2 linked regions of the Caenorhabditis elegans genome follow. The main gene of each other region encodes a partner of the protein of the gene in region 2 in a complex. Each region holds a gene or a part of one and is shown on either strand. Other genes may lie near its edges. The genes, in order: wdr-5.1 and cfp-1.

Region 1 (8,510 bases), on a different chromosome or scaffold from region 2:
AATTTTTCATTACAAAATAAACCTTATAGTCGCGATTCTTCTCATGAGATCTAGATCTTGATCTTCTCGATCGATACTCTCTTCTCTTATCATTTCTCATTTCATGCTTCTTCTCATTGTCATCATCACGATAGAGCCAAGATTTCGGGCATTTCGGGATCTCATTGTCCCTTGCGTTATTATTTTTCTCTTCGAGAGCAGCGGCGAGCTCTTCATCTGTCTTCAATGGTTTCTTCTTTTTCACGAGTTCTCCACAATTGGAGATCAAAACTTTTGCGAGTGGTTTCGATTTATCATCAACCGCAAGATTGTCGATGTAATCTACAACGTTTTGTCCTTTGACAACCTGGAATTCAATTTATTTTAACATTAAAGTATAAAAGTATCGTAATTTCAACAGATTTTGACTTAAAGGCGCACGGCTTTAAAGAGATGGGTCTCGGCGTGCTAAAAATTTATAGTAGTTGGTTTTTTTGTTCATTTTTCTGTTATTTTGAAATCGTTTTAAATCGGTTTTCCCTGTAAAAATGATTTTATGAACAAAACATTACTTTTTATTTTAAAACTGAAAAACAATTTTTAACAAAGTGAAAACAGACGCAAAACTTCAAAAATGACTACCATAAACTGTCTTTCGCGCCGAGACCCATCTGAATAAATCTCTGCGCCTTTATGTTAGAATCTCGTGAAATCATGATTTTATAATTATAAAATTAATATATTCTTTAAAATCCATTATGCACCTCTCCAAAAACAACATGTTTTCCATTGCAATGTGGAGCTGCAGCCGTTGTGATGAAAAATTGAGAAGAATTTGAATTTGGTCCTTTATTGGCCATTGACAACAAATAGGGCCTTGAGTGCTTTAATTTGAACTTTTCATCGTCAAAGTATCGTCCGTAGATCGAGAATCCTCCTCTACCATCTCCTTCTGTGATGTCTCCTCCCTAAATCGTCAATTTTTCAAAAATTTCAGCTAAAAACCGCCGGACCTGGATCATAAACTTCTTTACAATTCTATGAAATTCGTTTTGTTTGTAATGAAGCCGTGCTTTATTATTTGGAGTCATTCCGACTTCTCCTGTGCACAATGCTCGAAAGTTTTCACATGTTTTAGGTGCTGAAAAATAATTGATTTTTTTTAAATTAATTTTCTGGGCAGATTTCTAACCATCTTCGACAAAAAGTCGTATTTCAATTCTTCCAATCAGATTCTCATCGACTGAAATATCTAGGAACACTCTTTTTTCAGCGGCCATTCGCAGCCTGAAAATGGTTTTGGTTTCGATTCGAAATTTTAAATTCCGAAATAAAGAAATATAATTTCACAGAAGCCTCAACGAAACAAAAAACATTCTCCGGGATTCAATTTTTAGGGTTTTATATATATAATATATACGGATGGAAACAAAAAAAAACGAGTAATCACAATTCAACGCCGTGACTTCAAACAATAAATAACATATATATTATTAATTTAAAGCTCTTCGTGATCCTGAGATGCGGTTTCAGATTCGGAAGCAGATCCAGCATACTTGTTGACAAATTCTTCGAACTTCTCGAGGTTTCTGTCTCCATCATAGTCGACTGGGGTAGAAGATCCGGCTGGCCACAGCTTCAGGGTTGGGAAAGAGTTGACCTTGACGTCGGCAAGCTGAAAATGGAAATAATAATTATGAATATTGATACTTTCAAAATTCTTACCTCGTTGAGAGTAGCATCAAGCTTTGCAATGACAACATTTGGGTTGGACTCGTACTTCTCAGCAAGCTCATCCCAAACTGGAACCAGTTGCTTGCAATGTCCGCACCATGGGGCGTAGAATTTGACGAAGACAGTCTTGGTTTCATCAAGGGCAATTTCGTTGAAGTTGGAGGCGACGAGAACCTTAACTGGGAGTGCATTCCAATCTTCTGGAAGATCTTGAGCCTTCAAGTCTTGAGCAGACTTTCCTTCCAAATATGAGTTGGTGAAAGCTTCGAAATCTTCTCCTTCTTGTGGCTTGAACTTCTCAACTTGATCGGCAAGGCTGACAATTCTGTTGGCTGGGGTGTTCTTGGCATCGACTCCGAGGAACTCGAGAATTCTTGCGTTCTCTTCAACATCAACGTCGAGAAGAACAAAGACGATCTTAGCACGGAACTTCTTAGCGACCTCAGTGAACTTGGCAATAGTCTCATCGAAAGAAGAGTCTGACTTGCGGATGATCAAAAAGTGGAACTTTTTGAGGTCTCCTCCGACGATTTCTTGAGCAGATTCGTGGGTGAACTCGGTCACGGCAGAGAGCTTGTAAGCGTGGAGCCATTGCTTAAGAGCGATGGTGTTGGTGATTTCAGCTTCAGCAATTGTGCTAGTCTCGCTGTCGTCTCCATCAGTGCGGATAAGAGCGACTCCATCTTCATTCAAAGATGCGGCAGCAGCAACCTCAGCAGAACCGGCAACGGCGAAGAATGCGTCATCGACAGAATCAGCAACTTCGTTGTAGATGGTAGCAGCATCAGATTTCGCGTCCTGAAAAATAAATAAATTAAATAGGTTGTACTTTTTATGTAAAAAAATACCTTGAAGTATCCAAGAACAACAACTCTGGTCTTTCCCTTCAATTCCTCGAGTTGCTCAACTGACTCAACAGTGGTAACAGTTGGTCCACTCTTCTTCTTGACCCAATCGACAATTTGAGCGGTGGCGCGTCCTCCGGTGTATTTCGTTGGCTTTCCACTCTTGAAGTAGAGGATAGTTGGATATCCACGGACCTCGAACTTGGATGCAAGAGCTTGGTTTTCGGTGGCGTCAACCTTGGCGAGCTTGATATCGGATCCTTCCTCCTTCAGCAAATCGGCGGCTTCGTCGTACTTTGGAGCAAGAGACTTGCAATGTACACACCATGGAGCATAGAATTTGACTAGAACAAACTCATTTCCATTGATAGTTTCTTCGAAATTGCTCTGAAAACAGTTTTTTAGAAGATAATGATCAGAATAAATGTTATACTTCAGTGAGAACAAGCACGTTTTCGCTGTCAGCAACAACTGCTCCGATTGATGCGACCAGGAGGAAGATAAAGGACACTGACAGTGACATAATTACCTGAAAATTTAAAAAAATAGTAATAGAAAATTTGAGGAAGTTATCATTGAAGAGAAAAGAGGTATAGACAACGATAAGTGTGCAAACAATACGTTAGCCATTACTTTGCGATCAAAAAAGTAGGGTATGAGTATTGACAAACGCAGTCAATTTTTCTTTTAAAAAATCCTCGTCGTTCACAACCTGCTAGGAAGAGTGCGAGCGACGAGAAGAGAAGGAGAATAAGCGCACGTTGTAAAACAGAGTAACGAGAGAAAGAGAAGAGACCGTGAACGCCCCGGCAGAGACAACGAGGACCGCGAAACTGCAAGACGAATGGACAGTGCAGTATTGACACGTCAGCATACGCGTGTACGGGAGATGTCCACGTGGACGTCACCGTGGCGACCTTTATGACTTATTGAGATGAGAGTTCGCGCATTTAATGGAAAATTAATTGTGTTCTAAACCTTAAAACAGTGAGAAAATGAACAAAACACATCGAACTGAAAGTTTGTGCAACTACAATGCTAAAGGAACGTCGACGGCCCGGAAATGAGAGTCTATTCGAATATAATTATGCTTATCTTCAACTTAAAATTATTCTGAACCCAAAAAATTTATTCGGAATGGGCAAGTTTATCAAAAAAGTTGTTTTTGGAACTAAAATTAGCTCAAAAAATGACTTTAAAAACTGGGTCAAATAATCACTCTTTTAAAGACGCACCGGATTTAAAGATATGGTCTCGAAGCGCTGTATACAGTGTAGTCCGAGTGGACAATCAAATACTTGTTTCAATGATTTCTAATTTCATTTTTTTTTGGAAATTCTTTTTTCTTTCGTGATTTTGTCACATACATATTACATTATATTCAGGTTTCCGCTATGAAAATCCCACTAATCCTGTTGCTGGTTGTTTCAATTCAATGTTTCTATGTGAGAAACCAGACTGAAGACTCGATGGCAGAAGGATTACGTTCGAAGGTGGGCTCAAAATGAGGATATATCAAAACACATAAATATTAAAGGATAATAGTATCGAATTGTTCGGTCAACGCGTGGAGGTGCCGTCGTGGTTGAATACGGCAGCTGAGAAAACAAGAGGAATGTTTGACTCTGTGACAGGTCTTTTCGGAAAGAGTACAGTAAGTATATAACATCGACGGTGGGAGGGGTCATATTGACACAACCGTTTTTAGGCCACGTCGCGCAGATCGTCGGACGGCTTGATGACAAATCTGAAGAAGGATGAGGCGACAAGGATTTGGTTTGCAGTCTATCTCAACATCATTCTCGTTGCTCTGATTTACGTTTTCATCACGATTAAGCTGGTAAAAAATGATTACACTAAAGATTAAAGCTAGATAATTGAATTTTTAGGCACTCATGTCACTGAGCGAAGGAAAAACTGAGCGCAAGAAACGGAACACCTTCAGTTCACACGTTGCCTACGATTCCCCCGACTATAATGTCCCATTGACCAGTATTGCAACAAGAGAGATTCCAAGAGGTCCCGTTCAAGATGAAGATTTCGAGATGGCTTTGGAAGTCCGAGAGGATGAGCAAATCGCCATTCCGAACCCTGATCTCCGCAGTGATTTATCCACGGAATTTGATGATAATCACTAGTTCTAATTCATGTTCAAAATTTTTGTAAATAGCATCACTAATCTATTCCAATTTGACAGGTTCCTATTGCACGAGTATTTCTTCATAAACACGGTTATTCGTTTTTTTTTCCTTTTTAGAAACACAAATCTGAAGAACATGAATTGCTTGACCTTGGTATTGGCGGCGATAACCTAGAAAGTGGGACAAGTTATTTCTTGCTGTCCACGTATCTTTGGATAAGGAAGATCATCAATGTTTCGTAACCTGTAAAACTAAGAGAAGAGAAAGACAAATATATATCAACTAATCTAAAAAGTTGCAGTCAGCAAGATGAGGAAAAAAATAAAATATATAAAGAAGTTGAATATCTAGAGGTTCTCAATATTTTTGTCAGAAAGTTTTTTTCTCATTCTCAAAATAGCATTGAATATTTTCTTATTAATATTTTTGCTTTAAAATAATAATATTAACAGCGTGATAGTTTTTTGGAACACGAATATCACATGCATGCGCATTTCGCAAGACTTCCATTCTCTGCGTCTCTCTCCTTCTGACTCATTTCTTCTCTTTAAAATCGAAAAATATTGTTCTCATCGACCCCAAATGTTTAAAGCGTTCTCATCGATAATGCAAAGTCTACAGTTCAAAACCGATGTTCCAGTGATAATGTGAGTTTTTTCTTAATTAAAATATCAATTTTTCACCTAGAATTATTTCAGAGATGCAGAAACTGTGCCGAACGAATGTTTCTCGCCAATTTTCCGAAGGCTGGACAAAAAATCACTTCTAAACTGCCAATTGGCTTGCCATCGATTCAATGATTTGATATCAAGTGACTCGTTTTGGATTGAATATGCTCGAATTTTAAATATATCAAATGTTCTTCCATCTTTGGAGTGGAGAAGAGCAGCGACACAGAAGAAGTTTGTTGGAAATGAAGACAATGAAATTGACACTTCAAGTTTTAATTTTAATATTAAAAAAATAGTAGGTTATCGCATTTTATAGTAATAAAATTACAAAGTTTTACTTCAGGTTCTGTCTGGAAGAGGCTACTCACCAATCACTCCGCTTTTCATTTCTCATTTTGAAAATGCACGTGACAACACAATAAGTGGAACTCTCCGTTCAGATGATTTTTCAATCAGAGCGAATGGCAGTGGGTATGTCAATACTTTGTTCTTAAAATAATCAATATTTACAATTTCAGAATCCACATGGAAAGAGATGGAGGAAACGGTTGTGAACCACATCCGGATGTTTCCAAGTGCTTCGTATTTTCATTCACAGAGAGCTCAATCAGTGTTTTCATCGATTTGGTGAACTCTGGAATTGACCCATGGATCTTGGATCACGTTCGCCCGAGAATTAGAATTACACAGAAAGTCAATCATCGTAATGATTGTGCAGCCAGGCTCTCATTTGCTGCTCAGTTGAACTATCACGAGACTCAGTGGATTGAAAGATTTGGCCATGTACAAACTATGAGCAACACTGATCATAAAAGATATAAATCTGTAAATAAGGAATGGGCTCAATGGACTGGTCAACCTTGGGAAGATTGGACAATTGAGTTTGACGATTACCCGTCTGGAATTCGACATTTAACTATTCTGAATGAAGGTGAAGATAGACAATTTTGGAGAGGATTCTACGGACCAAAAGTTGCCAATATTCAAGTCGAAGTTATTCTGCCTGATGAGCCAATAGTTAAACCACTCGCTGTTGATTCCGAAAAATGCAATGAAGACGAGAATCCTAACGCTGAAGACGAGGATGATGACGATGATGAAGTACCGCCAAGAGTCGGAGTTTTTAGAATGCCACTCTTTCGTCGTGGTCGTCACATGTATGGAATTCCTCCCGCTGTGGCTCGTCATGAAGATGAAGACGAGGAAGATTAAATAATGCACCGACAATTTTTCGCTTAACTGTTTTATAAAGTGTTTGTATGACTGGAAAAGTTTGTTATATCTGTAATCGAATGAATATATAAATATTTTAACACGTATCAGACACGGATACATGTCATGACATGAGTTCATTAACGAAAAAAAAGAAATTCCGAAAAAAAAACTGCAAAAACATTGCGCGTCAAATTGTGTGTTCGCTGTGCATGCACCCTTGCCTCTGCGTACCGCACATTGCATCTTACGACGATTTCTATTTTATATTTTTTGAATGAATTTCTTCATTTTTCAACTTAATTTTTGATTTTTGCTGTGATTTCAGATATGGATACCAGCGAAAATGCTGCTTCAGCTGCCGAGCAACAGCCAACACAACAAATCGATCAATTAACAGTACCAAATGCTCCGGATGGAGGTTCTTCAGCTCCTGCTCCATCTGTAGGTTTCGTTATTGTTAAATAGTATATTTTTGAATAAGACTTCACAATAGTCAATTTCCAGACTTCTCCCAATTCAATTTCGCCATCAAATCCGACTGGCACACCCGCTCCAGGTGCCAGTGCCCAAACTCCCAATCCAAACGCCGCCGGAGCTTCAGCCTCGGGTTCAGCAAATTATAAGCTGATGTGTACATTGGAAGGACACACAAAATCGATTTCTTCAGCTAAATTTTCCCCATGTGGAAAGTATCTCGGAACAAGCAGCGCGGACAAAACCGTCAAAATCTGGAACATGGATCACATGATTTGTGAGCGAACTGTATGTTTCCGCTCATGAAAATTACAATTAATCCTTAAATTTTCAGCTCACCGGCCACAAACTGGGTGTAAACGATATAGCATGGAGTTCCGACAGCCGTTGTGTTGTCTCTGCTTCCGACGACAAAACACTGAAAATCTTCGAAATTGTAACGTCGAGAATGACCAAAACCTTGAAAGGACACAATAACTACGTCTTCTGCTGCAATTTCAACCCACAATCATCGCTCGTTGTCTCCGGATCATTCGATGAATCCGTTCGTATCTGGGATGTCAAGACAGGAATGTGCATAAAAACCCTCCCAGCACACTCAGATCCAGTGTCAGCAGTGTCTTTCAACAGAGACGGCAGCCTCATCGCATCGGGATCCTACGATGGTCTAGTTCGTATCTGGGACACTGCCAATGGGCAATGCATCAAGACTCTGGTCGACGACGAGAATCCTCCGGTGGCATTTGTAAAGTTCTCTCCAAACGGAAAATACATCCTCGCATCGAACCTCGACAGCACTTTGAAATTGTGGGATTTCTCGAAAGGAAAAACCCTGAAACAATACACTGGACACGAGAATAGCAAATATTGCATCTTCGCCAACTTCTCTGTTACCGGTGGAAAATGGATCATCAGTGGTTCCGAAGATTGTAAGATCTACATCTGGAATCTCCAGACTCGGGAAATAGTTCAATGTCTTGAAGGACACACACGTAAGTCGAAAAATAAAATAAAAATGCAAATTTAAATTTTTTCCATTTCAGAACCCGTGCTAGCCTCCGATTGTCATCCAGTTCAGAACATCATTGCCTCAGGAGCTCTCGAGCCAGACAACAAGATTCATATATGGCGCTCGGATGTTTAAATTGTTTAAATTTAATTAAAATTTCGAAAATTTGATTTATATTTACCCCTTGGTCACCGTGTATATATGCTTTTCCTTCTTGATCTCCTATATTCCTTGATTATAGAGGCGCGGTGGCCAGACACTTTTTTTTCTGAAACTTCGTATTTTCTGTCATTCCTTATATATTCTTCCTAATATAAAAATCCATAAATATTAATTTCCGTGGGATGATTGAGATGATCATTCAATTGATTCGTTTTATTTCGATATTCTATTTGATTTTCAGATTTAATTTTATTTTTCTGGATTGAGGCTGAAAATTTTA
Region 2 (8,510 bases):
CATCCAGTAGGGAATACATCAACACTAATTTGTCCTCCGATTGCAAACTGGAGCCCGTATTGCCCGAACTTCTCGCGGAGCTGCTCGGTGAACTTTTGGCGAATTCCGTGCTTCTTATCAAACTCCACAAATTGCATTCGTTCCTCTTGTGAGCAACTCCGTCCAATAGGCGACAAATTGATCATCCCGTTTCGGAATTCGACGAAATTTCCACGTTTCACAGGAAGTTGAATGTCAGACATGTAGCGGAGAGCAAAATTGATGAGCTCTTGGAGCTTCGCATCGCCGATGGCTTTCTGGATTGATTGTACTGGATACGGTTCGGTGCCCTTGAATCCGTAGAGCCCGTTCTCCGAGAATGTGTAGTCGAACAGGGAGAGCACTGGAAAAAATGAGGAAATTAGGATTTGTAATTCAAAAAAAAAAATTAGCAAAGACATACACAAATCCTTATCGTGATCTGCCAGCTGCTCTGTGATCTTCTTAAAGTCCGATCCTCCGACGATTGCCAGCGGGACACGCTTGCGAGCCTCGATCAGGAATTCTCGCATTTCAGGCGTAATAGTCTGAAAATGTTGGGGTTTTTTAAATTTAGATGTAGAAGCAAAATTTTGCCCCCCAAAAACGGCGCCTGGTCTCGACACGACATACTCTTCAAAGGCGCATTGTCGTGTCGAGACCCAGGTACCGTATCGCAAAAATCTCGCAGACTAACCTGACGAGCAGCAGTGAGTGTTCCATCGACGTCGAACACCAAAATTGTTCGGCTACTCGCTGGAGAAGTCATCTGAAAAATTTTTTTGGTGTTTTTTTTTAAATTTTTTAAGGATTTTTTTTGGAATAAAAGTTTTTTGTTGAAAAATTCGGAAAATGGAAAATAATACATTTAATGTCAATTTTCTTCGAGAGAGAGACCAAAATGTATAAAGAGAGATGAGTGAATAGTTGAGGATCAAAATGAAGAACACCGATAGAGAGAAATTGGGTGAAACAAAAAATAGAACAAAAAAAGGTTTTTGGAAAACTAGAAGAAAATAAATAAAATAATAATATAAAGAAGGGTAAGTTCAATTTGTTTTTTGTTCAAAAGATAAAAATCATAAAAATTTTGAAGAACAACGAATGAAAAAGCCAGTGCTTCGTGTAATATACGCAACGTGTCGTTAGAGTGTCTGCGTCTCTTCACTCTCTCTCTCTCCGCCATATTTCAGGACGACACCTATTCAAACAGAAAAAAATGTTGTTCAGATTTGGAAAAAAGATACGAAATTCCACGGAAATGAAAGAATATGATAGTTTTGAGGAAAAAACTAAAAAAAATAGGGAAATTTTAATTATTCTGCGTCTCCTCCTCCTTCTGTACAGCCAGATTTGCTAGAAATTCGGCGGTATCTTCCATTTCATCATCGTTTTTTGATGATGATGATGATGATGATGATGTTGAGCTGATTGGTGTCGTTGCTCCGTGAGCCGAGGCGGATGATGACGTGGATTGGGACTTGTTGAATAGGGACATTTGCTCGGAATCAATAATATCTGTAAAATTTCATTTTTAGATTTAAAAATCTGTGAAATTTTGAGGATTTTCTCATTCAGACACGGGATATGTGTCGATTTACGGAGCTCGTGTACTCCTCGAGCAGAAGCGGTTTTCCCTGGAAAAACCAGATTTTGAATTTTTTTTGCTGATTAATAACATATTTAACGGTGAAATCGCCAATTTTTTAATTTTTTTCAGTTGCTTTTAACAGCAAATTCGGCTTTTTGACCGTTAAATACAAAAAAAATTAGAGAAATTGGTCCAAATTCAAGCTTTTCGACAAAAACTGTAAAATTCTCAAACTTCTCCTCGGGGAGTACACAATTCCCGTAAATCGACACGGGGCAGTTTGTGCGAAAAATGCAGTGCCTGGTCTCGACGCGACAAATTTTCGCTAACTGCAAAAATCTGTGCGCCTTTAAAGATTACTGGAACTTTAAATTTTAGTTGCAGCGGAATTTCCAGTGATTTTTATAGTTTTCCGATAAAAAAGTTAAAAAAAAACCAAAATTTGAAATTACAGTAATCTTCAAAGGCGCACACATTTTTGCACCCAACAAAAAATTGTCGTGTCGAGACCGGCCACCGTAATTTTGGCGCGAAAATCGCAAAATTTCGCAGAAAAAATGAGCATTTTTCCGTACTCGGCTGTTTGTGCATCATAATCGACAGAGCATTCGTTGTCCATTCGGCGTGAGCATTCAATTTGTGCATCTCGTGGCACAGCTCATACATTTTCTGAAACAGACAAGCTTGTTCCAGCTCAATAGTTCCTCTCAACGATGGTATCCATTTGTGATGCTTGTGACACGCGTCCTTCTTCGTTCGACAGCCTTCCTCACCGAATGGGCTGAAAATTGATTGATTTGCAATTTTATTTGCTGAATGGCCGAGGTTTTTCTCGGCCACGGTCGAAGATCTGACAAGATTCAGCGATTTTTTTGCTATTTTTCCCGAATTTTTCTTTTTTTTCGGTCATTTTTTCACAATTTTTCACGCAAAAACGAGCAAAAAAAGCTCTAAATCTCTTGTCGGATCCTCGGCCATCAAAAAATTCTCCAAATTCTCCACTAACTCTTCCATTTCAATCAATTCTGAAACTGTCTTCGCCGTCTCAATCATTCCATCTTCCCATTTCTTCGGATAACCGCACACTTTCAAATGCTGTTCATCGCCCAGTTTTCGATGTTCTGGGCACAGAGATTTCAGCCGTTTACAGAAAGAATTCGTTCGCGAATCATATTTTTCACAATAAAACATGTCGTTATTCTTCTCCGGTGCTCCGAATGAGATTGCCTTTTCGCTTCGAGCCCAACACAGCTCAATGTGTTTTGTGTATTTTAGGAGGGGAATGTCCGGGAGACCACACACGATACAGCCTTCGTACTGAAAAAATTGAATTTTTTTACTTATTAATGAAAATGACCGTGTAAAGCTCTAACACGGCCATATGTCGATTTACGTGGCTCGTGCACTCCTCGAGGAGAAGTTTGCATCAATTTTTGTAGAGGATCTCCTTCATTTTGGACTCTTTTCTACAATTACACTGAAAATTTGATAATTTCACAAGATTTCAAGTTCCTAAAGGCACACGAATTCATTCAGATGGGTCTCGACGCGCAAACAAGTTTATGGTTCAATAAAATTACTTCGTTTTTAGCGAATTTTGTACTTTTCGTTCATTTCTCTTGTTTTTCAGGCCGAAAAATGGGGAAAGGACACATTTTTAATGGAGAAAAGATTTTTTGTACCTTGAAACTTATCTAAAACAATTTTTAATGGAAAAAATGAAAAGAAAACGGAAAAAATCGCTAAAACGGGTTTTTGGGTTTCTTTTCATTGTTTCTGTTAAAATTGTTTAAAATCAACTTGCAAAGTTCAAAAATAAGCTTCTCTCTATTAAAAAATGTGCAAATTCCCGTTTTTTGGCCTGAAAAAAAGAGAAAAATGGCAAGAAAACGGCAAAATTCGCTAAAAATGAGGTAATTTCATTGCAAAATGAAACAAAAAAGCTACCATAAACTTTTTCGCATCGAGACCCATTTAAATAAATCCGTGTGCCTTTGAAAAGTTAAAATCTTGTGAAATTACGATATTTCCAGAGTAATCGTAGAAAATAGTCCAAAATCAAGGAAATCCTGTGCAAAATTAAGACAAACTTCTCCTCGAGGAGTACACGAGCTACGTAAATCGACAAATGACAATTTTAACAGGTTTTTTGTTAGTTTTTCGGCTAAAAAACAATTTTTTGTGAATTTAAGAAGCGAAAAGGCGATTTTTTTTTTGTCATTTGAGCAAATGAGCCAAAAATGTACCAAATTATCATCATATCTCTCCTCTGTGCCCAACGGTTGAAGTTTCAACTGTGTCTTTATGAACTCGACGAGCTTATTCAAAAATGCCATCATATTCTTTTCGGATTCCGTCAATTTCTGAACTTCTCGATTGATTTTAGCCCGTTTCGGCTTGATTTCGTCCTCCAAACTGCGCGGCCCACCGGATGGGCCCTCGAAAAAGTACTGTTTACAGCGATTCGGTAGAATTTCAGTGAGCCGCATTCTGGCGAGCTCTTTTCCACACTCATCGGAACAATATTTGCTATCGATTCGAGATTCGTAAATACAATTCGGATTGAGACATTGACGAGGATGTTTATCGGGTTCTGCCTGGAAAAAATTGATTTTTTTTTTCAATTTTAATTAGTTCGGCAGGTTTTTCCTGTAGAAATTAAACGATCAATTCGTGAAAAGCAGCGCCGCACGGAAATAGAGGCGGAGCGTAATTTTGCAACCCTGCGGCACGGTTTTTCCTCCTTTTTCGACAGAAAATGTGTCTCCAATTTAGTTCGTATGATATTTTATGAGAATAAAAATTGGATAACATTTTTATTCGAAAAAAGGAGAAAAAATTGTGCCGCAGGGTTGCAAAATTACGCTCCGCCTCTATTTCTGTGCGACGCTGCGAAATTCACAGATTTGATCGTTCAGTTTCAACAGTAATATACTAACATTCAACTTCAACCCTGCTGCACGGTTTTTCGAGGCACCACGCTTTCAAGATCTGTTCAAAAACAAGATCTACGTTTTCAGGATCTGGCACCGTGCCAACTGCGGTTTTCTCGATGAAAAACGAAACAACGATGCTCCGATGTTACGCGTCGCGCGTTGTTTAGCGTATCTTCTAGAAGAAAATTTCAAAAATAGTTTTCTGAACGCTAAACAACGCGTAACATCGGAGCATCGTTGTTTCGTTTTTCATCGAGAAAACCGCAGTTGGCACGGTGCCAGATCCTGAAAACGTAGATCTTGTTTTGGAGGATCTTGTTTTTGAACAGGTCTTCAAAACGTGGTGCCTCGAAAAACCGTACCGCAGGCTTCCGAAATTACGCTACGCCTCTATTTCTGTGCGCCGCTGCAAAATTCACGGATTTTCGCGGATTTTGTTGTTTAGTTTCAGCAGTAATAGTCTCACATTCAACTGTATACACAAATTAAACGATCGATTCGTGAAAATCAGTGCCGCACAGGAGTAGAGGAGGAGCCTAATTTCGCTACCCTGCGGCACGGTTTTTTCCTTCTTTTTTGTAGATTTTTTTTTGATAAAATTTCGATTTTACCGTCTTTTTTCGAATTAAAATGCTAACCAAGTTAATTCTCAAAAATCGCATTGAAGAACATTTTTATTCGAAACAAGAGATAAAAATCGAAACTTTATTGCAAAAAATCAACAAAAAAAGAGGAAAAACCGTGCCGCAGGCTTGCGAAATTACGCTCCGCCTCCGCTATTTCTGTGCGACACTGCAAAATCCTCGGATTTGTACAGTTTCCACAGTAATAAATACTAACATTCAACTGTGTCCGTTTCCTTCTCAAATCAGCCGACTGTTGCCTCGTCGGCCTATTCGGTACATAATCTCGTTCATTTATAATATTAGCCTTCCGTTGTTGTGCAGCAGCAGCAGCTCCTCCATTCCCAGAGCCCTTCTTTCGTCCTCGCTTCTTCTTTTCAACTTGTTGCTCAATTACCACCGGAGCACTTGGTGCTGTGGTTGTGGCTGCCTGATGAGCGGCTTCTCGTTGTGCTGTTTTTGCCATTATAGCCTTCAGATTTTCGTCGGTTTGTCTTTTTACTGGAATTATTGAATTGAAATGGAGGGTTTTTTTCGTTAAAAAAAAAGACTGAAACTGACCGGAAAAGACCGAATTTCGTGATGAGAATTCTCGAAAAAATTAAATTTTGAAAAGAAAGTTAAATTTTACTAAAAATTCTAATTTTTGCCAACTTTTCCCTTTTCTAGCAACTGAAATTCCGATATTTTAAATTAAATTTTCACCATTTATCGCATTTTTTTGTTGATTTAGGATCGTTTTCAGCCTATAGGCATCAATTTTAGCCAGATGCCTATCGACCTAAAAATGTGCCTAAATTCTCAAAAAAAAAAATGCGAAAAAACTACCAAAATATACGCTAAATTGAGATAATTTCTTAAGAAGCTGGATTTCAGCCATTGTGGGAAAAAAAATTTGCGAAATTTCAGATTTTAGAAGAATTGGGAAATTTTCAGAGAAATTTTATAATTAAAATCGGTAGTTTCAAGCCATTTTTAGTCTATTTAAGGGTGAAATGACGAAATTTTGCTTTTTAAATCAAAAATCGCCCAAACTACCGAATTTCTTCATGAAATGCGCTGAAATTTTCTGAAAAAAGAAGTTAAGGGGCTTCAAAACTTGGGAAAAAAGCCTATTTTCAGCAAAAATTTCAAATTTTGCCAAAAAAAGTTTGAGATTTAGCTTAAAATAGGTATTTTTTCCAAAACTTTCAAGTTCCATAACCTTTTTTTGAGAAATTTTCAGAGCATTTCTACAGGAAATACGTTAGTTTCGGCAATTTCTGGTTGAAAAAACGAAATTTCTGTACTCCACCTGTAAAATAAAAAAATGTTATTTGAAAATGCCTTCGAAAATCGCCTGCAGGAGACGCAGACATTGTAAAAGATGAAAATTCGTTAAAAATGACGTAGAAAAATGGAAAAAAAACGAATAAAAATTAAATTTTATGCCCGAAAATCCGCAATTTATCATGGAAGCAGGTGAGCTACAAGCTTTTGCCGGTTGCCTAGGTTTCCATGCACTTTGCCTCACTAGAACTGAGCTCAGAGAAATCAATTTTTGAAAAGAATTTCCTCCAAATATAAACCTTTCTCATTATATAATCTTTTCGCTGAGAAACATTTCCGCATATCACAAGTTTTTCCATTTCGACACGGCCAACATGTTCCACAATTCTTTTCATCGTTACATCGAATACAATTCATACATCTTTCCTTCCATACATCCTCATTATCTTCGATTTCTTTATTTGACATACTGCTCATCTAAAAAAAACATATTTTTAGCCAAAAAATACGAAAAAAAAAATGGTTAAAAAGCCAATTTTTTAGCGAAAAATCGTCGATTTAATCTTGAATTTTTCGGAAATAGGGGAAAATTTCAATTTTTTAACAAATTTAGCCAAAAAATACGAAAAATGACGCAATTTTTTCTCAAAAATTTACAAAACTTAACAAAAATCCCAACATTGATCAAATTTCGCTAATTTTATTCAGAAAAATATTTTTTTTTCTCCTCTAAAAAATACGAAAAATGGTCAAAATTTGAAGCTAGTTTTGCGGAAAAATACATTTTTTTTTTCGAAATTCCGGAAAATTGGAGAAAAAATTGAGAATTTTTGGAAAAAAGGGGAAAATTTCAATGTTTTATCAAATTTTGCCTGAAAATACGAAAAATGACGCAATTTTCTAATTTTTTGGTCGAAAAATCGAATTTTTCATTGAACATTGTCGATTTTCCCGAAAAAACAAGTTTTTTTCTTAAAAATTAACAAAAATTCAACATTTTATCTTTTTTTCTTCTCAAAAAGGTAAAATCAAGTTTTTCCGGAAAAATTGATTTTTTTTGTCGAAATATCGGAAAATATTTTCATTTTCCGGATCACCATTTGCTGCCAATCTGAAAAATCTGATAAAACTTATGGAATTCTAAACCATCCTAACAGTATACAATATCACGAATATATATATTTCATTTATTTAGATATATTATGGTTATTTACGGGACGTCATTTAAAGAACAACATTTAAAAGTTAAAGAAAACCAAAAAAAAGAAGAAAAAAATAGATCATTAATTGTAGAGGGAGAGATTTGTTTTTTCTATTCCTTGGATTCTTCCACAACTTCTGCGTCTTTATCCTCAGACTCATCAATAACAATTGGTTCTGCTTCTGTAGATGGCTCAGCAGCCTGCTCAGCACTCGCTGGAACTTCTTGAGAAGGTTCTTCAGTTGATTTTTCAGCGGATTTCTCGGATACTTTGTCATCCTTCTTATCGGTTTTCTCCTTTTCGTCCTTCTGAAATAAATTATTACTTTTAAAACAAAATTAACCAAATTTTCAGAATTACCTTGCTCTTCTCCTCCTTCTTTGGTGGTGGTGGCATAACCTTCTCAACTACAGAAAAAATGCGATCAGCATGTCGTTTGCAGTCTTGAAGGGCCTGTTTCAGAGCAGAATTCTCATCTTGAGTGGACTTCAGCTGAGCACTTGTCTCATTCAATTTCTTGTTGGACTTGTGGTAGTGAGAGTCAATGTCCTTCTTTTTCTTGTCGATTTCAGCCTTGGCTTCTCGAAGTTGCTCTGAAAATTGAAATATTAAAGAATTTTTTTAAAAACAAAAACAATTATATTTAATCCCTACCGATTAATGAAAGCTGCTCACTAACAGTACTCTTCGCCTCATCTCTCTCCTTTTCAACTTGCTTCAGCAGCTTCATCTTCTGCACAACATTCACCGCTGATCCATTGATAATAACGACTCCATCCGACGAAGCAGAAACTTCCGATGATTTTACCGCCGCTCCCGAATCAGCTGGTTCCATGCTCTTCGCCAAATTGTAACCGAATCCTCGAATCAA

The links.
Region 1: cfp-1 (region 2) and wdr-5.1 share a complex: the UniProt entries of both Caenorhabditis elegans proteins name them as parts of the SET2 complex.

What each region holds. Positions count from the first base shown.
Region 1 is NC_003281.10:3,698,375-3,706,884, forward strand, and holds wdr-5.1 (WD repeat-containing protein wdr-5.1), read left to right. Parts: upstream 1-6,910; 5' UTR 6,911-6,912; coding exon 6,913-7,026; intron 7,027-7,089; coding exon 7,090-7,347; intron 7,348-7,393; coding exon 7,394-8,051; intron 8,052-8,102; coding exon 8,103-8,203; 3' UTR 8,204-8,410; downstream 8,411-8,510. Other genes in the region: cyn-9 (Peptidyl-prolyl cis-trans isomerase 9), read right to left, coding at 23-346, 744-947, 993-1,120, 1,172-1,259; pdi-1 (Protein disulfide-isomerase 1), read right to left, coding at 1,478-1,654, 1,705-2,511, 2,562-2,945, 2,992-3,081; C14B1.2 (Conserved plasma membrane protein), read left to right, coding at 3,953-4,051, 4,096-4,212, 4,267-4,398, 4,448-4,696; C14B1.3 (F-box domain-containing protein), read left to right, coding at 5,282-5,346, 5,398-5,665, 5,714-5,841, 5,889-6,582. UniProt on the Caenorhabditis elegans protein: Contributes to histone modification. May position the N-terminus of histone H3 for efficient trimethylation at 'Lys-4'. Required for di- and trimethylation, particularly for the trimethylation at 'Lys-4' of histone H3.
Region 2 is NC_003282.8:14,075,845-14,084,354, reverse strand, and holds cfp-1 (CXXC-type zinc finger protein 1), read right to left. Parts: upstream 6,915-8,510; 5' UTR 6,906-6,914; coding exon 6,737-6,905; intron 5,670-6,736; coding exon 5,386-5,669; intron 4,207-5,385; coding exon 3,856-4,206; intron 2,927-3,855; coding exon 2,616-2,926; intron 2,391-2,615; coding exon 2,185-2,390; intron 1,537-2,184; coding exon 1,331-1,536; 3' UTR 788-1,330; downstream 1-787. Other genes in the region: F52B11.2 (putative phosphomannomutase), read right to left, coding at 1-382, 443-566, 716-787; ccar-1 (SAP domain-containing ribonucleoprotein), read right to left, coding at 7,750-7,947, 8,000-8,232, 8,294-8,510. UniProt on the Caenorhabditis elegans protein: Transcriptional activator that exhibits a unique DNA binding specificity for CpG motifs; enriched at promoters containing the trimethylation mark on histone H3 'Lys-4' (H3K4me3).